Linked DNA regions of Drosophila melanogaster. The protein of the gene in region 2 interacts with the protein of the main gene of each other region in a pairwise test. Each region holds a gene or a part of one and is shown on either strand. Other genes may lie near its edges. The genes, in order: promL and ND-20.

Region 1 (18,249 bases), on a different chromosome or scaffold from region 2:
TCATTGTTAAGAACTTATAACTCACGATGGGATCCACGATACGGTGGCAAATCAAATCGACTCCACGATAATATATGTACGACAGGGGTGCACAATGACCCACACTTTCGTTGGCCTCCTTTATAATCATATCTATGTAGTCGTCGATCATCTGGTCAATGGAATTCGTCAGATTGCCTCCTAGGGCGTTGATATAGTCCTTGCCGCGTGTTTGGATGAACTGTTCGGAGTTGATGGCCGTGGCAGTGAGAATTTTGATTGTATTGGTAAAGTCGTGGTTCTCGTACGAAATTAACTCGTCGATCTTCTTTAGATTGGCCTTCATCTTCTCTACGAGGCTCGTAAGCTTCGGTACAAAATTGCGATAGAAGGCCTTGGTGTTGAGGCCCTCATTCCAGAATGACACCTTGGCCCAGCCGTATGCCGGATACTCCAGATCGTTGGATAGCTTATACAGCTGCTCGGACAGGGCGTTCAGGTTCATGGGCGTAAACTGGGTGCACAGACTTGGCATGTACAGGGAGCTATGGTACTTCGCAAGCTTGCTCTCGCCCGCTGTCTTTAACTCGTCACGTTCTTCCTTCGTCAGGAGTACCACGGTGGACAGGTCCTCGTCGAAGACCTTAATCGAATCTGTATTTTCCTGTGAGTGTGACATCACTTTTATGCGCGTCAGATCGTTGATGTCATATATGTTATGCTGACGCATCATATCGAAAATGGTCTGATTGGCGTGGCAAGCCTTGATTGCACTCGACATTTTTAGTGGTTGCACCACTTCCTTGTTACTTTCAGATGGCGGCAAATAGTGATTCAGATCTATAGACGCGTCCAGTTGCCGGAACAATGTGTTGTTCTCCTGATCTCTCAGTGGTGCACAGGCACCCTGGTAGGTTACCATACCCAGCATAAAGTAGAAAAGTCCAACCAGTGCGATGAAGGAGAAAACACAGAATATCAGCAGTATGGCTCTAAAATAAGTAAGCGTAATAATGAATCAATAAGCAGAACAGAATACGGTTAAAACTACTCACAGAAGCAGGCAGGTGGCTCCGGTGGACTTGCTGCAGCATTCATCACCATATCCAGTTCGTCGGCGCCCAAAGCAACCGCACAGTAGAGCAAAGATCAAAATAAAAAGTACCTAATTTAAGGGAATACGTTAGTTAAGACTTTTGATTGGAATCTTTAAGATCCGCCTTACCAGAAGAATAAGCAAGCACACAATCAGGCTGACAACGTTTCTATCATGGCCAAACCGCTCGTAGACGTCCTCGAATGACTTAGTCGAGTGCAGAGTTTTTATATGGATATCACTTAGTACTCCCTCCACAATGTTGCGCACATTCGTCGCATGTTCTCGGAAGATTGTCCTGCCCTTCGTTAAGTCCCGCATCATGGGTGGTACCACGAAGGAGAGTTGCGTCTTCACCTTGTCGCTAACCTTCTTTAGACGCGAGAGTCCCCGTTGAGGTATAGCGTAATACTCACTTGCAACTATATTCTCCATTCCCTCTACAAATTCTTTGGTGTTCGGGAGCTAAAATACGATGGGGTTAATAATTTTGTTATTACAAATTGAGTTCCAGTCATACGTTGTCGAAGTGCAGGCATTGCGAGGAATCAATGTGTTCGATATTGCTGCTAATCAGGAACTTCTGGCACATCTGCAGTTGACAGAGATTGGCCACTGCAAAGTTGACATCTCGTTTAATGCCACGGACGCCTGAAGTAAAGTGAATAGTTTTATTATTTACTGCAGTCTCTTTGACTTTTTTAAAAGTCCTTACCATCTCTTAATTGGGAGCCATAGAAGCGCAGATCTTTCTCCATCTTCTCCACTTGCCTCATCAGCTCCAGAGCCTCGGGCATGTTCTCCAAAACTCGCTCCATTTCTGCCAAGGAATTACTCTCCGATGTGTCGGAGAGATCCAAAAATATGTGCCGGTGAGCGTCTAAAAAAAAAGTATAATTGTTAAATAACTAATCAAAGGATTGCAGTCCATTATTATTTTTACGGGTTAATTGATCAAGCACATGAGTCTCCATCTCCTCGTAGTTGTACATCATCAGATGGTGAACGTGATCGGCTACATCCTTCAGATAAGTGCAAGTGTCCTCGCTGCCGCGCTTCATTGTCTCGGAAGTCTCGGCAAAGCCGCTGTCAATCATTTTGTTGGTAACAAAGGCGATAATGATGCCAAAACTGCAGAAGACAGATTATTTCGAATATGACTTTTCTTGGTTAAGTGCCTCCACTTACATCAGTCCGATGATGAGGATCAACAGACAGATGCCACAACAGAAGCGCCGCTGAGCATCCTGTTTACTGGTACACGGAGGACATCCCTGTCGACATCGTCGGCAGCAACAGAAACAGCAATAGCAAACGCTGTGGTGAACAAATATTGGTTATCTACGTTAATTGAATCAATGGTCTCAAAACTCACGCAATGAACGGTATGACTATAATGAGCACCACGAGAATAACAACCCAGATGAGAACCATCCAATAATGAGCCAATAGATCCCGCCAGTCATTCTCCTCCACTTTGGGACCCAAGCTCAAAGTGTCCGAATTCTTTACGACAATGTAACCTGCAATATTAAGAGAAATAAGTGTTTTATCCTTTATTTATCCAATGTGTACGTCACTCACCCTCCGGAATGGGTTCATCCCTATAAAGAACCTTGTCATATAGAAAGTGTGTAAAATTGAAAATGGGGTTCATGGCGGACGTGGGAGGTGGTGGTGCCTTTGTGTAGTTGGTTGTCGGCCGGTATACAGTGTACTGGACTGGTGGCCAATGGGGCTGGCCAAGCTGTTCGTGCGTGGTGCCATGGCCCACATATCCCTTGCGCCAGCTCCCGGGATCTGCATCAGCCTGGGCGGTTGTGGGCCGGATCAGCGTGGCCAAAGCGAAGCCGAATATGGCTACACTTAATCCACATATGGCCAGGTAGGCTATTTGTCGCCTACGACGCTGTCGTCTCTTCCGGGATCGCATGGATTTCGACTTGACCGCGGCCAGAGGCTCCACTGTGGCAGCTACTTCACCCATGGCCGACTGCTTTTCGAAGGACTTCCTGTCTCGGTGAAGCTTCCTCAAACTGACTAACGTGCTGAGCTGCTGCTCTTAATCGTGTTCCCTTCGGTGTAGTAGCCCACACCCATTTCACACGTCAGTGGCCTGCAATCAGGAAAATAGAATACAAGATTAATTAAATAGTTTAGTTTTAAGATAGAGCCACACTTTATTGTCAGCCATTCATATGATGATCTCAGTCATAAGCGGTATCCTGTAAGTGTATCTTTTCAAGCGACACCTATCGAATTAATCTTTAATCTAAATTCCTTTCGTTTTTTAAATGTAAATGGGCGAGGACAGAGCAGAGCTCACACCCTAATGTGGCAGTAGCATGTCCTCGTCCAATAAGAAATGCTTGGCCGGGGCAATAAAATATATTTGTTTCTTGGTGTGTCCAGGCAAATGGGGCATAATCCCATCACAGGCTTTGGATAGGATTGGTTCCACATTGCAATGCGCACACAAACACACACCCAGAGACAATCTCACATCCACTTGACATCAATTAAGGTCAATAAAAGCCGAGAAGATGACAATGGGTTCAGGCATTTGCTGCCCGAGAATGCAAGCCACTGGCGATACAAAGGACTGAGCTTCGGCTTTGGCACATTGCCCACCGTTGGCAGGTGTTATATCTCTGTCGGGGAGGTGAAAGTCCCTTTGGCGTCGGTTGAATGCACTTGTCCGTAGATCATGAGTCACCAGCTATGCTCGGAAGCATTGCGTGAGTCGCCTTGCATAATTACCCAACTATCAAATTACTAGCTTGGGGAAATATTCTAAATAGGCAAAACATTTGCAATATTTGCAATGTCAAAATAAAAAACAAAACAAAAAATGTACATGCCCCGAGTGAGGCTCGAACTCACGACCTTAAGATTATGAGACTTACGCGCTGCCAACTGCGCCATCGAGGCATGAACACGTTGCCGGCAAAAAGCAAACTTCTGCCAAAGGTTCTTATGTGTGCGAGTCCTAAACGCATAAATAAATATACCTACCTATATTATGTAGGTACATTTGTAAGGAATAAAGTGTCTGTGCGACATGTTTATTTAAAATTATCAGATAAGAAACTTGCAGTCTCTTCTTATCGATGTCGAATATGAAGCGTTATCTTGTTATCACGCTGTGTAATCACGTTAAAAAAAACACATTTGATTTTTCAAGCACAGGTAATTAATCAATATTTGATGTCAATAATGTCTAAATTAAATGTACAATTTTAAATGCACTTGCATTAACATTTTATCAAATGCTGAAATACTTTATTACTCAGATATTAGTCACATCCTCACCATTTATATGATCGTTTTAAGAACTTCCTAAAACCCATAAAAAGTACTGTGAATTTTTGATTAAAAATACTGAACACACGACTGCAGAATACTGGTTGGCAAGGCCAACTGACGATTTGCGTTTATAAATTATTATTTTTTTTATATAAGGAATTTGCTGACGGAGCTAGCATTTTCCGATCGCACTGCCTACTCACTATCAACTTTGCTCATATTTCCAGCATAGATCCAAGAATACGAATGAGTGTGCTCATTTGATACCCGCCACTGGCAACTGTAAATTTATGGCCATCGAGGCGAGCAACAAGCAGCAGTTACACTCATCGACTGTCTTTGCACCACAACAGCCATAGACAGACAAAGAAATCGACAAGTTTATTGAACTCTGTGGGCGAGTGGACAAGGGAAGCGGCCAAGGGTCTGCCCCCTCGGCTCGGTGGCTTTCCATGGCATTATGCTTTATAGCCTAGCCCTTGCGCCCTGGCCCCGTCGTGCCCCCAAACGGCGACAGAATGTAGTGTCGCAACACTATACGTATTTATATACACATTCGGAGCACTGCAATGCCGCCTGCTTATCTCGAGGTTGTCCCTCTTTTTCTTTACGAGCATACCCTGCTTACTTTCCGGAAAGAGCTGGATTACCAGACGTGTTGATGGCTGTGTAAAAATAGACGTTTCTGCGGACTGCACCTGCTGACAGGGTCTTAATGGCTGTCCAAAACAAGCGAGTGTTTGGTGTCGATTGCGTATACGCCGCGTTGTCTGGCTGGGAACAAACTAAAGGCGCTGGAAAACCGATGCTCCATTTGCTGCTATGCTGTAGGGCTGCGTTGCCACCGCTACTGTGCAGAAAATTCTCTATACCCCCATGGTGGGGCAGCCTTTGAACGGCCTTGACACGCGCTACGCTGCGGGCTGCGAACCAGAAGCCGCTCCTGCCCGAAGTTTGCTGCCATTCCCCTACTCGAAAATCTCACTTGGAAGGGAGCTCGCAGTACAATCGCAGTCCTGCTGAGTCCTAAGCATAGCCAGAGGTCGCGTCTCCTCAGCAATTTAGAGAAAACAAAACAATTTGCAGCCTCGGCTTTGCGGGAGGACATCATGGCAATCAGGAACATGCGCAGTGCGATTCTGCAAGGATGCTGCACTCCCTCGAACAGTGGGCGGAACAGGCAAACGCTCGGCAAGGCCACACGCAAAATGCCCTTAATTCCGGTTAGAGTTCAGTTTTACATAGTGCAAAATGCCCATAATAAACCACACTGTATATATAGTATGTTTGCATACATGTACAAACAAATATCGGCCACAATAAACTTCCAAAAAAAAGTTTGCAGTCTTATGGACAGCTGTTTTAAGTAAATACGATAGCTTTCACATTTGCATTTGTTTAAACATTTGTTTTTCAAACTAGGTTTCTATAGAATCGAAGAAATTAAAAGAACACATTCTAAATAATTTCCATGCATATATTTACCACAAAATCATTCAATATGAAAAATTCCAAACTTTCCGGAATATAAAAATCCTGCTATGGCAAGTAGGAGGTAAACAACTAAATTAAATGAAAAATTCATGGTGGTCATACCGACCAATAAAATTTTTATTATTATTTGGAAAATGGCTATAACACCAAAGCGAAGTAATGCTAATAATCGGGTAATAAAATGTACACAATTCTCGGAATTTGGGATCCAAATCTTATAAATTGCCAACAACACGAGTCGTAAAGTGTTTTTTAAATGATCTAAACTTTTGAAAGTAACAAGATCCAGACACAACTCTAATAAACTTGCTAGATTAATCAACTTTACTGTCTATTTACAAATAACAATACAACTAGAGCGATAAAAGGTATACAATTCGCAATCTGTTAATTTGCAGAACAAACTCAGCCGTAGAATGAATCAAAATAAACCAGATTATTCAAGCTTTAACGAGCTGTTACGAATTCAATATACCCATTGTCGTCAGTAGGTATTTGATATCGCAATACATTTTCCCATTTAGGTAAAATGAGTCAACAACAGATCGTAACAAAGGCAACAATCCATTTCTTGCAATTGAATGGCTTGTCTGTTCCAACCCAGCTGATTGAATCCAACTTGTTTTTTTTTCGCGAACGAGAGAAAGTTGACGAAGTTAAACAAACAAACTTATTTGGCGATACCCGTATTGGGTCACAGGCACGGACCAATAGAACGAGTGACCACTGTATCTGCGGAAACGCCAAGTGCAAGGTACTTCAAAATCTGCTGGCGGCTAAATCAGCAAAAAGTGGAATCCGAACACGATAAACTTAATGACGGTACCTGAGCGTCGGTTGCTTATGGCTTGTATAAACAAAAGAATTAAATACAAAGTGAAGGTTGCATTAATAACAACAATTACCGCTCTCCCCCTATCCATAGAGCCATAATCAATGCCAGTCCCGAAGAAAAATGGCTGAGTGGTAAATAAATATTTAAAAGAATTCCCATGAACGTAAATCGTCTGCAGTTATTATTGGAATGTATACTAGAATAAATAGGTTTTATGACGACCAATGACAGCAATCAGCATTGCTGATAACTTGGAATAATAAGTGGTCTAGCAGTTGTCAAATTGAAAACGTTTTCTTATAATGTCAGAGTTGAACATATTCCTTCAATTATCTAGTAATTCCGTTCTCAAGAACTCCGAGAGTTCTATGAAATGGATGCCATTAAGATTATTTTTACATAGACCATAAGTATATAGCAGCACTGAACTTTACTGATTTACGAGGCCGGAAAGAGTCTGAATCAGAGATAACCAAAGATGACACAATGACCCAGAGTCATCTTCAAATTCCAAGTGGGATGTGTGTGATTAATCTGTTTATAAATATAAAATTTTCCCCAGAAAAGTGCAGCTAACTTTTCGACCGAATTGAGAACACACACTTTGCAGCATCCACATCTTTTCATTTCGGACCGCCTCCGCCAAGTGACATCCACATCGAATTTGGAACAGCCGGCTGGGAGGTGGAGTCCATGGACGGCGGTTCGAGGCGAAAGACATCGCAAGAGAACAGGTTGCCCTGCCGATGGAGTGAAGTCGTGCCAAAGCAAAAACTCGTTTCTCGTGACTGACTCACTCCCCGATAAAAAGCGCAGAAAAATGGGCTAATCACACAAGCAGATACAAAGTAAACTTCTTTAGATGAAAACTGAACTGAACTGAACGAATCCAAACAAAGGAAGTCGGAGAAAAGGGGCGGAAATGAACTGAAAAGTTATAAAAAAAAGGTGCAGACGATCGAGAAGCAGTTCGCTATACTTTTAGGAAGAAACGGAAGCCATGTACACTGACAGAAACAGAAGATGCTCACGTGCCCGCAGATGCATTATATCATCTTGATACTGAAAGTTGAGTCAGCTTCATTGCTCAGCGAATCTGATATGAAGGTTGGCAAATTTCTTGCCAGCTTATCCAATCGCTTATCATATTGTAAACCTTGGATGAACTTGTGTCCATTTTCCGTTTGTCTTCGGATTTCGACCAGCGTCATAAGTTCTCCATTTGCGTTTGGAGTATTTGATTAATGATTCGAAACTCTGCGCTTATCTCTGCGTTTTCATATACATAAATAATAGTACAGTGTTTGTTATTATGTTTATAACTTTCATCTCGGATTTAGCATTCTACATATCTTGTTTATTAGTGCTATTTGAGCAAGTGGCTTTACATTTAATTATTTATACCCAGACTTGTCATTCTGGAAACGTTATCCCTATTTGCATTTTTTTATTTTTGGAATTTGAAAATAGTCATGCAAACCGCTTAGTCGGTTAGAATCAACTTGTTTGGTTTGCTTTAATGTTTATCTTACTTTAATCCTAAACAAAGCAAAAACAATCGCTTACTGTTGAAAGTCATCTGAGCTTTTTGACTATTTTTATTTTGATTATTTTTTCTCGGCTCAACTTCGAGCTCGAATTTCGAATGAAATCAACAAATGCTTCCCGTTTTTGTAAAGATTAGATTTATAATTCTGCCTATTCAAGCTAAATCTATCACGTGGGGCTTTTTTTCAGAGTCTGCTTCCAAGTTCTGCAAAGTGTGTGGCTGGGAAATGATAGAATAGACCCCGAAACTCTATAAATACACGGATTCCGCTCGGCTGGGTGTCGTTCCCACCACACGCACTTGTATCTCAGGTCAGGGATGTGTGGCACATATCTACACCGAAATATATGTATAGTGTATATACATCTGCGGGTGCGTGTCTATGTCTGCGGGAGTTCCTTTTTTGAGTGTTTTGTTGGGATGGAGCAATTAGTGCAGTGCCGCCAGGTGGGATTTCTGGGCGAGAAGGGAGGGCGGAGCATACATTTCGAGACAGGAAGGGCGCTATACCTACTAATTCGACACCGCAAATTGAATAACTCGCTTCTCGGGCTGGGTAAATTGAAATAAACAGCATAAATGAGCCGACGGACACTCACCAACATCGACAACCGCCGCCTAAGCCAATTAAGCTGGCTGTTGGACTCGGGCACGTGAAAGATGATGATGATGCGACGCGGCGTCCAAATCCAATTAGCCGTAGGATCCAGCGATCGGTGGCAGTTTCAGACTTCCAGGCTCGTATCCCCCAACGGATGCTGGAAGGGAAGCGGAGGATTACGTCGCCGGACTTTCAATAAAACACCCAATTTGGACAGCTAAGAGTGCAGCTTGTTCAACTTATAAAAATGACTTGGGCTTCGTTTTACAAAACTAATGGTTGTTCGTGTTAAATCGTGTAAAATTCCAGTCGAATTTGGGGTAATATTAACAGATAAATCAAAACCGTTGGGAAAGTTTGTTGAACAAAGAAAAAACAACAAAAATTAAGGTCGCTGGCGCAACGAGGATTTCCCACTTTTCCAGCTTCCAGTGGCCCTTTTGGCCTAATTGGAGTTCTTGGTAGCAAGTTCCATGGAAAACATGGATATTTTATAATCCGAAGTAAGTCTCTTTAAGCGATTTTAAAACGAGCACGCACACACATGTTGTACATATACTTATATACATATATATATATATATATATATAGTTGGCGTTGTTTTTGTATGTATCACTGCACTGCACCGCCCTTTCGAAACATTCTTTGTTTGCCAGTTACACCTGGCGCTTGTTGTGATTTTCACTCGCTTTTCATATTTTCCCGTGGCAGTAGGCGTGGCCAATCGGGTTTCAGTCACGCGAAGGCACGCTCCATTCAGACTAGATCCGCCCCGGATGTTCACCTTTTCTATTCCAAATTTATCCGATCGAAAAACTTCGCATTTCAAAGAGTTCTGGACCAATGTGACAGTGCGCGGAGCCAGGGAATACCCGTTCGTGGCTTATATAAATGCGCAAAAATACGCCGAAATTAAATACTAAATGTATACCGGAAAACCGACGGAGCCCTGGAAGAATACTATAAAAAAACCGTTAACCGGAGACGCAAATCATAACCGGAAACTAAGTTTAAATTCAAATTTTTTTGGATCTTGTTTCTGTAATGCGACACAATGCGTAAGGAGTATATAAATTAAGATTTAGCTCTTTTAACCACAGTTCCCACAAATTAGATTCAATACTTAGCCTCTTCCTTTTCCAGATATAGGAGTCTCGAATTCATTGTACTAGCGTTTCATTAAACAATTTTGTTTATTTTGGTTTCGTTTAAAACACTATGTTAGACGTTAAATAATTTACAATCAAAATTTGGATTCAGTTTTCTCGTATATGTACCCCCGATTTTTCTTCCGGGGGCACTACTCCATTGACCACCTGTCGTCCACTGCTCACACGGGTGGATGTGTATGTACGTACGTCCTATGTCTGCATGTTTTCATTTATGGGAGGGGGAGGAGCAAGTGGGGAAGTTTTACACGATTGTAGCAACATCGAAAAATATAACTTTGATATCTATGGTACTATACTATACATACACATGCACGTGTGCTCCCTACACGTTCAAGCATTGACTTTGTTGAAGGCTCTGCATTAAGTTGCGTTATTATCAAAATAAAAACTATAGCGTTGCACATGATCGGAGGCGTTAACTTCGCAATCGGCTAAATTAAAAACATTCGTTTTGTGTCGTCAGTACCCATACATATATCTCTCTATTTATATATATAAATATATATACATATTTATTTTGTATATACCTTGTGGTTTGCGGTTAAAGTCGCCTAGTTTGTGACCAAATTCATCATAATTTGCAATTCATTTCATTAGAGTTTAGACTTTAAATCACTACGATTTTCAAAGTAAAGCTTGGTATTCAGTTTATTTGGATTTTCCTCTTCCTAATTGTTGTAACTAAACGGCTTTGGGGTGAACTAAATTAGTAATGCGATTCGATATTCGGGATACAGTATTGTGCTGTGCTGAATTTACGCGATTTCATTCAAAGATATCGGATTACACTTACTTGGTTTTTTTTTTGTTATTATTTGGCAGTTATTTTGTTGTTGTTGCAAAACATTATTAGCTCTAGCAGTGATGTAATCCCAACCCAAAGAGAACCAACAGTCGCAAAAGCATTGCAAACGGAAACAGAAGCCAGAAGCTGGAAAAGCGGGCAAGCACACGGGCCAATCGAATCGAATATATGTGACTACGTTACTTAGGCAATAATAAATTAATTACGAAATATAATTGGGCTGAGGTGGTTTGTGGTGTGACAAGGTGCGTTGTGGAAACTAAGGTAAAACGAAGATCTAACCATCAAAACAATAACATTATCTCGGCCTGATCTGCGATATATATGCACCTAATAGAATAGACTCGGAAACTAAAGCCAAACTAGTTACAGCATTTGTTTACAGTTACAAAATCCTTAACTCCTTAACACTGCTTATACGTATCTATAGCCACCAGCTGGGTTCAAGTTGTGTGGATAGGACGCCGGCAATGGAGCGCACTACAGCTGCGCCAGCGAGTCGGAGCGAATGAGCGGCGCCAGTGAGCTGGGCGCCTTGTGACCCGGCTCAATCTCGTACTGTACGTCTAGCGAGGCACCTGCGAAAGATCGGAATGGAAAGTCAGCACAGTGTTTTTCACATCACTGGGAATTTTATTCATGACTAGGTTGCAATTGGCGCATCTTGCTCCGGGACAATGGGTGGGAAGATGGTTAGATGGCTTGGCGAACTTATCAACAATGGCGTCTGTGGACCCTTACGTTTCTTTTCCAATGTGGAGGTCTGCCCCTCCGGAATGAACGCGGACACTATTATGGCACAGAAGACGCACAAGGCACCAAACACGAAGGGCGGACCTGGCACATGCTGTGAGATCTTCTCCACGTTCGTCGCCCTGCTGCCGCTGCTCTTCGCATGCGAGTCGTGGTCGTCGTTCAGATCGACGTTAAACAGGTAGAAGACGACGCCGAAGACCGCAGGACCCAGGCCATTGCACAGACCCCTCATGCCCGTGATCATGCCCTGAACAGCGCCTGAAATTGTGACATTTGATTCAGCTAAGATCTTTCGAATGGAGCAGTTCAAGCCCTTTTACTTACCCTGACTCTCGGGAGCCGCATAAAGGGATACAAAAGCACTGATGGCGGGATACGTGATGGAGCCCAGGGCAGCCACAACGCCAGCCGACCACATCATCCTGAATAAAGAAGCGGGATTTAATTTAGATGATATGCCTCTAAGATATTTGAGATATTTATTACTCACCACTTTTGACTGCCAAAGCCGTACCACAGCAGCTGCACGATTTCCAGGGCTAGGCCCATTATAATCGTGCGCTTGGCTCCAAACACTCTGCGAAAGAAGCATGTAATTAGCCACCGAAAAAATCATGCTGAAGAAATTTAAACTCACTGCATGAAGGAGCCGAGTGTGACTTGCACCGTGATGCTGAGGATGCCTACTATGGCTATAAAGACCGAGACCTCCACATAGTTAAAGCCCATCTTCAGTTTCAGATAGACAAACATGCAGGAATACTCCCCTGCCTCGGGCAGATAGGATAACAGCACGGTGAGGCACAGCATCAGCACGGTCTTATCGGTGCCCACTTTGCGCAGGGCCTAAAAAGAGCACAGTGTCATAAAACTAGTTTGAGAGAATTCAGAGGTTAAAGCTTCAGCTTACCAGAAATGGATCCGCCTGCTCCCAGCTGATAGGCGCACCCCAGGAGGCTGGCCGCATCTTCTCTGATAGACTCTCCGGCACGGCCACCAGTATGAAGAATACATCGAGCAGCGCAATGGCCGTGGAGAGGGCCACGACCAGCGTGTCTCCGTACATCTCCATCAGGGCATTGCCCAGAGCCGGCGAGATGACCAGACTGGCGGCAAATGTGGCCGAGGCCAGGCCATAGGCCTTTGATCGCTCCTCCGGCGTGGTGACGTCCGCCACGTAGGCAAACACCACCGAGAAGGTGACTGCGAAGGCGCCGCTTATTGAGATCATGGCAAAGAACCACCACGTATTGATGGACATCAGCGGTATGGGCAGGCAGGTGAAGAATACTGTGACTAATAGGAAAAACTTTCGGCCCCAGATGTCCGAAAGGGCGCCGATCAGAGGCGCCGACAGGAACGACAGGATCCCCTTGATGCCCATGACCAGGCCGTTCATTAGGAATGTGTGATCCGGGAACGTCTGGTTGAGAGTCTGTGCGAAAAAGAGGAAAGAGTTAAAATCTGATACGTATATAAAACATATATAGTTATATAGTTAGCTCACCGATATTATGGGCATCGTCAGCAGGCCCCAGGCGAAGAACTCTAGAAATATCACAACCAGCGCATGATGAACACTCGGCTCCCCGATTCCGGAACTCTGTGAAATTAGAAATTAGAAAGCTCATTAGTAATAATTTAGATATCTATCGGCTAATTAAAGTGACGCGCCCGCTGCCAATTGGCATAATAGCAGGATGCACTGGCGGACGCACCCATGCGAGTGCGTCATCGTTTTGAACCCAACCAGTTGATAAGGCGACGACAATGCCGCGTTAACCCTTTGAGTCCCCGGCCAATTGCTGGCCGCCTTTATTTGTAAACATTTGAGTCCCGCGTCAGCTAAAAACAAATTGTACTAAATGCGAAACTGTTTGAGCTCGTTAACTGCACCAATGTCACCCGAGTCCGGCTGGCCATGGATTCGGAATGCCGGCAACTGATTTGTTTTGTCGCGCTTCAATAAATGGAAAACGAAACCCAAATGATTTCGGTTAATATTTAAACTAGTCAAGAAGCTTTCATTATGATCAGAAAAGATCGAATAAGGAAGAATATATTGTAATTAAATATAATAGCTACTCGGGTTAAAGGTGACTCTTAATAAGTCCCTATTGAATTATTAATTACTAGCGCTAATTAACTGGAAACTTGTATTGTTGTATTGAAGAGAATGACATCTAATGAGGCTCAGTATTTACTGAATTCAATTAACTAGAAAACTAAGTTAATAACCGGAGCAATCCGATTGTTTCTTAATTTTTAGTTTCGTTAATATCCCACTTATTTTAACGTAGAAATATTGACATGATTTATCTACTTTGGAGCTTTTAAATAAATAACAAATAACAAATAGTTTTTTCTTTAACAATATTCTCCATCAAAACAATAATTTTCCATGTTCCAATTAAATGTGGACAAGGTCTTGAGATAAGCGTTATCTGTTAGATAAATTAAACGTTTATCGAGTTTATCTTACATATGGTACATCTTATCTGGCTATTGTGAAAGAAACCCAATTACACAGAAGTTATTTGAGTCTGAGTAATTATGTAAAGCCCTTTAAAAAATTAGATTATTCATAATAATAAACCTTAAGTGAACTTGTAGCTACATTACCTATAACAAGTAACATCAGTGAATGGAATTGTATATCAGTAAATGGGTTAACTTAACTGAAAAGTGTGTGTTTTTTATGAAATACCTTGCAGCAGCAGATGTTGCACACAACGCGAATCCACTCGAAGAAGCGGTTACGCTTTGGTCGCTCCGGAGTCGCCTCCGAGTTGCCGCCCTGCGATCTCATCGAGATGTAGGAGGCGGCCGAGTGGGTGCGCCTGTGGGCGGCTCCTCCGCTACCGCCGCACACTCGGCCCGATCCCGACGACGCGGTGATCGCCGTCTCCGCGAATGCCGCGCTGGGATGTGCTGCTGCAGCTGCATACCGCGAAGTCTGCGGGGATGTGGAAGTTGAGGAGGAGGAGGACGAAGATGAGGGCGGGCTCTGCCGCAGATCGCACCCACTTACCGTGGGCACATCGTCCGCATCGGGCTGCTGACTGCAGCTGGAGCTGGAGCTGCTGTCCGCCTGCTCTGCCTGCTTGTCCTTCAGCGGAGAGTGACGCTTGACCAGCTGATTGCCCCGACCGCCAAAGGCGGGTGGTGAGAGCGGCAGGGAGCTGATCGTCTCCACATCGGCCACGTCCGCCGTTGTCGGCGTGGAGCTGCTGCTACGCGTGCTCAGACTGTCCGTCTGTTCACCCGACTCCTGCCGCTCTCGATCGGCATCCCCATCCCGATCTGTATCTCCGTGCGCCGATGGTTCTCCCTTGATTGCCACCGGTGAATTGACCTGTTCCGCCTCGGAATCCTCCAGCTCGAAGCTGCTCTCCAACGTGTCGCTCTGCCGCTGGCCATAGCTCCGCCCGCTGCGCATGGTATCGTGATCCGTTTTAGCTGCGTGTCTCCCTCTTGGTTTCTAGTGCTTCTGTGGGTTCGCTTATCACACTAATTTCCATTGCCACGGGTCCACGAACATGTGCGATGTGCGGTGAGTGGTGATGATGATTTCGGCTGTGATTTTGGGGATACGATCCGTTCCACTGCTCTGCACTCCACCACTCCGTTTATCTCCTCGTTTCTGCGGCGATCGAAGCGATGTTCTATCTTATCATTTGTTTGGCTTAAACACGCTGTTTCCGCTGGCAACGTTTCACTTTGAGGCACTTCTCTAGCTGCAATTAAAGTTGGCCAACCGAATGGCTCTTACTCATTTGAATTCATGCGAAACGCGCGATTTGCTTTCAGCTGTTCCCTAGGAATATTAAGTTGGCAAAACAACACACTAAAAACATCGCCGTACTGAACACTCTTGTTTGTTTGTTGTTTAATGAAAAACCGTTTAAAAGTTGTATGCAACTACTAGAGTAAATTAATAACTCGAAAAATATGTGTGATTTATATTTGGAAAATGATTTTAATCCTTAAAGGCGCCGCAAAGTATGCTGCTTTTTGTCGGAATCTAAATGTGTTATCCACACTTACTTGGCCCAGAAAAAGATAAAGATCGCGCTAAAAGCCACTTAATGTCAGTGCTTTGTGGCGATTTTAACACCCTGGTGTAAATCGCAGTCGCAAGCTTGGATAGGCTCGAAAGTAGATCGATCAACATTAGGGAAATGAGCAAACGAAGCAATTTAAATCGAGGCACATCAAAGTGAAATGAATGGAAAATCAAGTCGGCGCTGCCTGGCAGTTCACAGCAATTTTCCGGTCATGTCAGATGGGTCGAATTATTTCTGGGAATTGTCCGGTCCGCAGAACGTGGAATAAACAATCACATACCCGCCGACTTTTGGATGCCTGGACTCACGTCAGATCACAGCGATTCACACCACGCGCGCGAATATCGATCTCTGAAATTTCAATTAAATCGACTAACGAAAAAAAGTCACCTAGAATTTTGACAAACATGTGAATCAAAAACATCTCCAACTGTGACGCTGTCGATATCGAGATTGTTCCCCCCCTCAAAAAACCAGCGACGTCTGCTGCGTTTCGATGTGCGCGACTCACTAAATTGGATCGCTTGGGCACTCGGTTCTCCAGCCCACCGATTCGCCAGTTCTCCGGTCTTCCAGTGAGCGGAAGCTCGGCAGAGCAACAGAGAATCCCAGAGAGAAACACATGTCCACCTGCTGTGAAGCTTATTTACAAAAGAGTCACAAGCAGAGGCACACGATAGAGAAAAGATACTTGAACTTGAAGTATCGAATGAAAGATATCCATTGCAATTTGAATACATTTTTCGTTTTAAATACAAGTCCGAAATATAAATATATATAATATATATAAAATATATTTGCATTATATGTTTGCATTTGGGTTGTTTAAATGTTAATTATAAACGAGAGTATGATCAAATCAAAACATTAGTTCCAAGCACACGTACTTTACAGCCATTGTGACTTACAAAGTTTCAAATTCTATTAAATTAACAATTCTATTATCCCAAATGGCAAAAATACCCCTCACAAGCACAATAAAATGCCCAAAAGCAATTGTCGCACATATCACATAGATGAACTTGACAACGATGATGAAAGTTTCGCGTTAAAAGCAAATGAGCAGTGCTCCCCAGTACAATGGAAATGTTTTTGCTATCCGACCACATGGATTTTATTGTTATCAAGCACTCTGGAATTATGCTGGCTACTTGTGTTGGCTCAATAAAGTCTCAGGATGACGGAGCCGAAAAGATCCGATGAGGTTGATTTCGGGGGATTCTATGCTATAAAACATGTAAACATACATAAACTACAGTGCGTGATATTGAAAGGCAAATTATTTCAATAATAAATAAATAAACATATTACATATATTTACAATGAATAATAATACAATGAAATAATAATACAATGAATAAAGTTGTTTTTGCCTAGTTATCTATAAATATGGTACGCCAAAATATGTAAAATTCTCATAAGAACGAAATGGATAAGTTCGCGAACTTGACGCGCATAAATCTCAGCCGCGTGCGTGGAATTAGCTAGATGAAACCCATTTAAACCGAGCTGGTGATGGTGACCTGACCCCGCCGGACCGGGCAGTCCGTGAGAAAACGGCAATCGGGTCAAGTGCAGGCCGGGAGACCGAAGGCGCTTCAGAAATTCAATTTCCGCGACTGGCCAAGTGACAAGGGATTGGACTTGGACAGCCTGTTGTCCGAGAGGGAAACGCCAGCTGCCAAGTCAATCATGGGGAGAATGAACCGGAGGATCTGCACCCCCCCCCCCCCCCCTTCCAACACATGGGCCTGCATGTGTCGCATCAAAAGGCATTAGGAACGACCTTGACAGGAGCGTCGAAAAGTAAAACAACAGGACGAACGGGAGGGAACAGGCATCCGTTTTCGTTTTGCAGGCACGGCAAAAAAAAAAAGCAAAACAATGGAAAAAAGCTGACAACAAGTCAGCACGATGGCGTAACGATTTGGCAAGAGACATGCTGGAAAATACATTTCCATGTTTTCCTTTCATTAATGTCACAAAAAAGTGACTAGCTAGTCGTTTGTCGCTGGGCTGGGCACTGTCAAATTGAAAAGCCGGCTAAAACGGGCTGTGAGCTAACGACTGGTGGCTATAACGTGCCCTCGACTGAAATGCGTTGCGAATTTTTGGTTTGGTTTGCTAATTAATCTTGCCGGTCATGGGCAATCCATCCGATGGGTTGCCCTCCCGCAGGACACGCAAAAATTCAAATGGGAAAAAGGTTGGCAGGGTCAAGTTGGGGGCCACTCAGGTATTCGCAGGCCAGCGAAATTTGTGATACGATCTGAACTTCATTAAAATGCATTTAATGCCACTGAAAAAAAAAATATTCTCTATAATATATTGTTAGGCTGAAAACTCGTGCACTTGCATCGGTAGGCAAATGATGTTAGTTTAGAAATTCAAGCCTGTACATTTGTTTCAACTTCATTTGAGAGAATCCAATAATATGCAAGGAATGCTTTCATAAATCGGCATTTTATTCAAATTTCGTAGATTGTGTTTTGGCGAAGTTACAACTTGCTCCACATTGAAATTTTGCGCTCGTGGCGCACTTGATTTCGATTTGGATTTCGCAATAATGCCAAGACCACCAGACAATGG
Region 2 (7,446 bases):
CCGACAGCGGAGCAAATGCCAGAATAATCGGATGCAGTTTGACCTAAAAATGAAAATACAAATACCTACTGAGTCATCGCTATACCACTCAGTATGTGCGTGTGTCCATGTCGGAGCATGCTCCGAACGTGGGTTGCTGGCCAATTATCTGGTTGGCAACAGGATATTGCAGCGAGTTTGCGTGTCCGCGCAGCCCGACGACTCCCAGGTTCCAGGTCCCTGTCCTTTCCACCACGAAAGCAGACGAACAGAGCCTCAAAAGGAAAATACCATGGTTTTAATACTGTCGTTATACTATCGCAGGAAAACACCTGAGAAATAAGGGTGTGGTGTGTCCTTATTTCGGGCAAATTCCACTTATGCTCGTTTTACATGAAAATTGATTCCTTCGTTTAGATTCCCTTACCTTTTCGTTAGCGTTTCAAGGGTTTTCTTTAGAAAACTATGTTGTTTTATGCACAATTACCAAAAATGATATTTCAGGATCCTGATTAACAAGCTTAATATGCCCTCTTTTTAAGCATATTTAATAAATTAAGGTATTCTATTGGTTTTAAAGCGTTTTTAATAAATTAAGGTATTCAATTTGCTTTGAAGCATTTTTAATAAATTAAGGTATTCAATTTTCTTTTCAGGAGAGCTAAAGTATAAAAATTCATGGAATTGACTGTAATATTTAAAAAAATGAACATAAGGTATTGTACAAAATGGGTGGCATATGATTTGATTAGGAGTATTATAAAGGTTTCGTTTAAAATACATTGTAGCGACATTAAAAAGGATTTATTACTCAAACAGCTGTTCTTAATGAGCGGTATTACTCAAGTATTGGGGTTTTTAATTCTATGCGGGTTTAAAAGAGTTTACTAATTTAATATAGTTTAATTCCCAATTTCATACTGCATGTTTAATTTTTATGCACAATATAAAAACAACTGATTCATAAATTCATATTTTTCAAACATATATCCAAACATATAGATAATGCTTAACTAGGAGTGTGAAAATAATGATTTCACTTATTTTGATAAGATGTGACGCTGTGGAAACGCACCGAAAGCTTTAATACCAAACCAAAATTAGTAAGACCTTTTGTTTCGGTAATTACCATAGGATTGTTCCAATTATACTTCAAAACAATTGGATATTATGTTTAAAACACCACCCAGTCCTGCCTGAAAATAGTTAATAATATAAATATCCAACTAGCAAAGAAGACGAAAAGTTATGGCGGGAATGAATGAGTACTCTAGCCTAAAGTATGTAAAATGGTATAATATATAATCACGATGCCATACTAATAAACATCATCCATTTATAGATTTCAAGCGGAGTATGAAACGCACGATGATCACCTGGGCAAGGAGCATCGGACTGGGGACCGGGATCAACATTTACCCGTGACCTATGGCCCTAGCAAACACTTGGGAAGCAGGTACATCCGAAATGAATCCGAAATCAATTCATTTGTTAAATTATATAAATTCCCATTAATCAGCCTTGAAGAGCGCGAGAAGGCGATTGTGGACGTCGTCGGCGTACAGTGGGTCTCCCTGGTCACCGAGAACCTGCTTAGCCATCCGTTTGTGGTGCTGCGCCGCCAGTGCCAGGTGTACAATGCCTCGAGACGCTATCATTTGCATCCCTTTCAGCTTCTGCCCAGCATCGTCCACCTGCACAGAAGGCAGGGACTGACGACCCTGTGGAAGGGCGTGGGCAGCTGCCTACTGGTGCGCGGCATGACGCTGGCCATCGACGACTTTATCTCGAAGGTGACCAGCTGGCCCAAGGATGTGAATAGTCGCACCACGCTAAAGCGTTTCGGACAGCATCTCCTGCTCAAATGGTACCCACTTGACACCCTAATCTCGACCATTCTCTTATTCCTTTTCAATTCACAGCATAAGTATCGGCCTGGTGGTGCCCTTCTATGCAGCTTCTCTCGTCGAAACGGTGCAGAGTGATATTGCCAGCGAGAAACCCGGTCTATTCGATGTATTCCGGGAGGGAAGTCTGCGCTTGTTTTATTGGAGCTCTCCGCAAAAGGGCCGTATGCTACCAGCCTGGGCTCTAATCGGGCCAAGTGTCTCCTTTGGCATCACCAAGTATCTGTTTAATCTCGTGATACGGGGCGTGTCCTCACGCATAATGCGGCTTCGTATAAAGAATTCCCAGGACGGCCAGGGTGGAAAGTATCAGGACACCACGCTGGAACAACAGAATGCGGACATCTATGCCAGCCTTATTGCTATCATAACCACTGAGGTCATGTTCTTCCCGTTCGAAACGATTCTACACCGTCTGCAATTGCAGGGAACACGAACTATAATCGACAACCTCGACAATGGCTACGATGTCGTACCCATTCTAACAAACTATCAAGGAGTCGTCGATTGCTATCAGACAACGATTGTCTCCGAGGGAGTTAGTGGCCTCTACAAGGGCTTTGGAGCCATGATCCTGCAGTTTGCGGCACACGTGGCCGTCATCAAATTGACCAAATGGGTTGTGAATCAAATCGTAGAGGTCATCTCCAACCGACCACCACAGCGAATAGTGAATTACTATAATCTGGATGAGAATGCTTGCAACTCCAGGTCCACGACCTTGTCGCCAAGCCTTTCCAGTACCGAAATGGGGGAGATTAGTCTTGGGCAGAATTCACAAGACTAGTTAATGGCTAGTCAAATTATATTGCATATGTAAATTATACAAATATTTATTTCTTTTTGTATTTTTCGTTGGGTTTATTGGGACGTTAGCATGAATAATTGTATTTTAAGGGTTTGCTTACTCTGCAGTTGCGTTAAAAAAAAATCTGCCAATTAAAAAATATAACTATTTTAAACACTTTAAACTGAGCTTATATTCTTGCACTTTGTGTCCCGAAAACGTCAGGACCTTGAAATGAATACAGAAAAATTAAGTAAAAACAGCAGATTGTCCTGTGGTTGGTGCGATCGTTTCTATGACAACTAAATGATATGGTTGTGTATACAATTCACGATAAAAAAAAGAGGAAGGAGCCGTTAACTTCACGCTCATTTTGAAGGGAAACAAAACTTTTTTCGAATTCACGATTTTCATTACGACCGTTGGCAAACACACGTACGATTCAAGCTGACGTTTGGATACAGAAGCACAGCTTGAATGTTTGTATTTATATCGAAAGGCATTTATTTGCAATATCCTCGTGATCCAACAAACAATGTATACAACAACTGAACGTTAACAGAACGATATTTAATATGATTTCTGTTCGCAAAATCGTATGTCGTTTGATGTTTCACATTTTAAATATAAGTTCCGATCGTTGCCTTACTTCCTATACCACATCTGGAGCGTCTTCATCCGCTTAACCTTCTTCTGCAGCTGCAAAACGCCGTACATGAGCGCCTCGGCGGTTGGCGGACAACCGGGTACGTATATGTCGACGGGGATTATCCTATCGCAGCCACGGACGACGGAGTACGAGTAATGGTAGTAGCCGCCGCCGTTGGCACAGCTGCCCATGGAGATGACCCAACGTGGCTCGGGCATTTGGTCGTAGACCTTTCGCAGGGCCGGTGCCATTTTGTTGGTCAGCGTGCCAGCGACGATGATGACATCGGCCTGACGTGGAGATGCACGGAACACAACACCATATCGATCCATGTCGTAACGCGGAGCAGCGATGTGCATCATTTCGACGGCACAGCAGGCCAAACCGAAAGTCAGTGGCCAGATCGAGCCCTTGCGACCCCAGTTGAGCAGATCGTCCAGTCTGGCCAGTGACCACTCCGCAACGGAGGACTGTTTGGTGCCGAACGGAGAGTAGCCCTTCTTGGGCAGATTTTGGGCCACTTCGGCAACTGGAAGCGTTTGTTGTTGGCGCACCAGGGCCAAATTCAGAGCGGGCAGCGCCGAAATCGACGCATTCGGTGTCTGAGTCGCCTTTTGGAGAGCCCGGGACAGGGTCGATGACATCATCGCCGAACGCAGCATGTTGATCCTGCTAAAGTAAATCTGTAGTTATACTAGGACTGGGCATTTAAACATTTAATACCTATTTATGTAACTTCAACTTATTTCGATTTATAGGGGATGCGTATGATGTGACCGCCGCCGAACTACTAACTAAAATACCAAATGCACCAGGAAAATATACTATAAAATACGAATTTACTTTAGATATCCTATTCTCACACAAGCACATCACTTGCGGCAGCATGAACTTTATGCCCTTTTCCCACATGAACGCAATGGTTGGCTAAAAAAATCAACTTGCTTGAAGGTCATAGCTTAAGCTGACCAAAAGGCAAGTAAAAAAGTAGTTATTAATGTTTTTGTTTGCTTTATTTTGTAATATGTTGGTGTAATTCTATTGTTACAGCGGCTTGGGAAATGTTATGCAAACAATTGAATGGTAGTAAAGCGACGACTCAAAATACGATTAGCACTCTTAAGAACTAAAGATAAAAAAAACCACATGTTGATTTAACTCGCTAATTTATATTTCAGTTTGAATTGTAGATTATGCTTGCTCGCTTGATTTTCCCCCTTTTAAAATATTACTGGTTGGATTAGGGTAGCTGTTCTCTTTTTGATTCCTTTTAGATATCGTCGATGTTCACGTCGTCCTCGTCATCCTCGTCGCCTGCAACAGCGCGTGGAATTCCGCGTTGGACGACCCGTTGACCGCCACGTTGGCCGGCACTGGAAACGTAGTTATCCTCCTCGGATTCATCGTCCTCCTCCTCCTCACTTTCGGAGGACTCTTCCTCGGCATTCTTCAGCCAGAGAACGAATGGCATAGCTTTCTCGTGTATTTCGGCAGCAATATTTTTCGAGACATGTCGTTTGCTAACCTTCTGTGCCCACTCCAGTATGACGGCCTCATCGAGTATGTCCAGATCATAAAACAATTTGAAGATTCCAGCAACCTTGCTCATCAATATACCCTTATGCAGCTCTACAGTTTGCTCCACTCCACCAATTAGATAGCGCTGTGCTTTTGGATTATTGAGGGTGAAGCGAAGAAGCAAAGGGCGATTCTTCTGCACGTCCTTGATGATGTTTTCAGTGAAAAGCAGCTCGGCGAGAACCAATGGAGCCTTGTTAATAATATCCAAGCGTTCGGCTTCAATCACCAGCTCCTTGTGAGTTTGCACATCATCCAATTGCTTCTTGTCCCGCTTGTCCTTAACCAACTCGTAGAAAATATCAATGCGCTCCTTTTCAGTTTTATCATAGTCATCCGAAATAGTCATACCCTTAGCACCATCAGTCAGATCTTGCAAACGAGCACGAATAGCCTCCTACCGGGGTGGAGTAGTAATATACATATGAATAGCTCTTTAAGCTAATTGCGAGTATATACGGATTAAACAACGTACCTTCGAAACATCGACACTCCATCCCTCATCGTCGTCATCCTTGGCTGTTTTCTCCGGAATAGCTGCGCTAATCTCGGCCTCAGTTTGGCTAGCCTGATTTGTGCCGTTGCCGCCATCTGATTCACCGCCAGAGTTGTTGGCCAAAGAGTTATTGGTCATGGAGCCATCGGCGTTATCGTTCTTCTGCTTCTGTTTCCTCGAGCGTTTGCCCTCGGTTAGCGATGATCCTTGGGCGGCCGGATTCAATGACGGGGGGTTCTTCACAATGAATGTGTTCACTTTATGGTTAACCTTGAGCAGACCATGGAAGCCGCATGCCTTGCAAGACTGCGAAATGGTCTGGTTTTTGGCCGACACAGTTAAATTGGTCTCCGGATTGTCGCACTCGGGGCATAACACAAACTTGCGAATAAAACCATCCAACAAATCCTGCAACTTGTTCACATCATGCGATCCATTCACAACAAAGCGCTCATTCTGAATGAAATTAATAGTGATTAATGGGAGCATAGCTCATGGGTAACATAGGATATCTATCCGTGCACATACCTTGTGATCGAACAGCGTCTGGGCGCCCAGCTCGCAACCAAAGTACTTGGTTGGATAGGTGGCCGGGCGTCCGATGGCCCTAGCCACTTCCGCCATGTTGACCAGCACGGTCTTAATGCCGTTTCCTTTGCCCTCGACCTTTGCCTGCAGACGTGGCATCTTGTAGCGATAGAAGATGTCCGTCACACTGCGGTTTACGTTTACGGTGGCCATCTTGATAGGTTTTCGGCTCCACAGATAATGCTGATAATGGGTATTACTGTTGTTCGGGTAATGTTGCTACTGTTAGAGGTGGCCAGTGGTATCTATTGGTTATTGGTGGATGGGAAGTAATTGGCTTCAGGTTTTCTGCTAGTTTGTGATTGATCCAACTTTCGTTTCCGTTCATTAAATGTTCTTTTATTTTGAGTAGTTGCCGCTGCTGCTTACTTAACAAATGTATCCAGAATAAGCAGGAATTGGTGTCCTTCCGGAACGGCGAATTAATTGTGCTCTAATCAAACAACGGGTGTACTGAATATATTTGAAGAATCGGCCAGAATTGCTTGAGAGTAAGTTGTTTTTTTCTTCTTTTTTTTTTGCAAGGTTATGGCTTTGCTTTTATTTTGCTGAAGATTTTGTTTATTTTCGCCGTGGTAGGTATTCAGCTATTCTATTTTTTTCCGAATTCATATGAATAATTATATATACATATATATATACATATATATCTATATATATATTTGTATATTTATATATATATACATATATATATTTATTTATATTGTAAATTTACCAGTTTAAGTCTTTAAAAAATGGAGAAGGAGCAGGCTCATGTGTACCTGAATGGCTGTAACTTCCGATGTCTGTTACTCGAAGTCCTGCGAAGGCAAATATGAAATAGATTTGGTTAATCGAGTCGAATATGCAATGCTTATTACTTAATTATGCTAAGTTCTCTTTAAAAAAAAACCCACCGAAGTGCTGTTTCTACAGCGTATAATTTAATGCAATTTAGCACCACTTTCCCTTTGCTTGCAAATATAATCAATTCTTATCGGGTATTACAGTATTATGCATTTGGAGCCACATATGTGAGCCAAGGTAAAAAAGGCCCCTCGTATTAAACAGTAGCGAATTTAATTTGAATACCAGATTTTTTTATCGTAGAAACCCCGAGTGTGTGCATTGCAACAAAACGTCGTACGACTTGAATCAGCAATACTTAATGGTCTGGTCATCAGTGATTTGTGCTTACCGGTGATTTTTGGTTCGCCCTTTTGAATTCATGCACAGCTCGAACCCTTTACTCCGTTTTTTCTCAATGAGAAGTGTGGTTTTTTTTGCTGGTGTTTCTGAAAAATACAAATATAAAACGAAATGTAATTGCATTTAACGCACACGTTGGAAGCCAATAAAACTGCATTCGAATTGGAATTTGTACGGGACCTTATTGTATATTTGATGTTGCTTGAAACGTCAAAGCAAAAGTAATTGGAATCATTTAAAAACATAACACTGATTTGCACTATTTCGTGTTGCT

The links.
Region 1: the proteins of ND-20 (region 2) and promL interact in a two-hybrid assay, tested with the Drosophila melanogaster proteins (one study listed by BioGRID).

The regions. Positions count from the first base shown.
Region 1 is NT_037436.4:3,118,009-3,136,257, forward strand, and holds the start of promL (prominin-like), read right to left. Parts: upstream 9,717-18,249; 5' UTR 9,645-9,716; intron 9,209-9,644; exon of another isoform or gene 9,018-9,208; 5' UTR 8,859-9,017; intron 5,158-8,858; exon of another isoform or gene 5,010-5,157; intron 4,007-5,009; exon of another isoform or gene 3,934-4,006; intron 3,192-3,933; 5' UTR 3,063-3,191; coding exon 2,660-3,062; intron 2,599-2,659; coding exon 2,451-2,598; intron 2,393-2,450; coding exon 2,264-2,392; intron 2,207-2,263; coding exon 2,019-2,206; intron 1,956-2,018; coding exon 1,791-1,955; intron 1,727-1,790; coding exon 1,596-1,726; intron 1,541-1,595; coding exon 1,205-1,540; intron 1,145-1,204; coding exon 1,035-1,144; intron 972-1,034; coding exon 26-971; intron 1-25. Other genes in the region: CG11537 (uncharacterized protein), read right to left, coding at 11,318-11,415, 11,579-11,851, 11,918-12,015, 12,084-12,170, 12,231-12,439, 12,504-13,028, 13,101-13,196, 14,301-15,032.
Region 2 is NC_004354.4:15,982,693-15,990,138, forward strand, and holds ND-20 (NADH dehydrogenase (ubiquinone) 20 kDa subunit), read right to left. Parts: upstream 4,117-7,446; 5' UTR 4,046-4,116; exon of another isoform or gene 3,992-4,045; 5' UTR 3,985-3,991; coding exon 3,319-3,984; 3' UTR 2,781-3,318; downstream 1-2,780. Other genes in the region: Slc25A46a (solute carrier family 25 member 46a), read left to right, coding at 1,228-1,259, 1,322-1,435, 1,499-1,846, 1,902-2,673; eIF5 (eukaryotic translation initiation factor 5), read right to left, coding at 4,593-5,297, 5,376-5,852, 5,925-6,137; CG46312 (uncharacterized protein), read right to left, coding at 6,736-6,784, 7,162-7,258.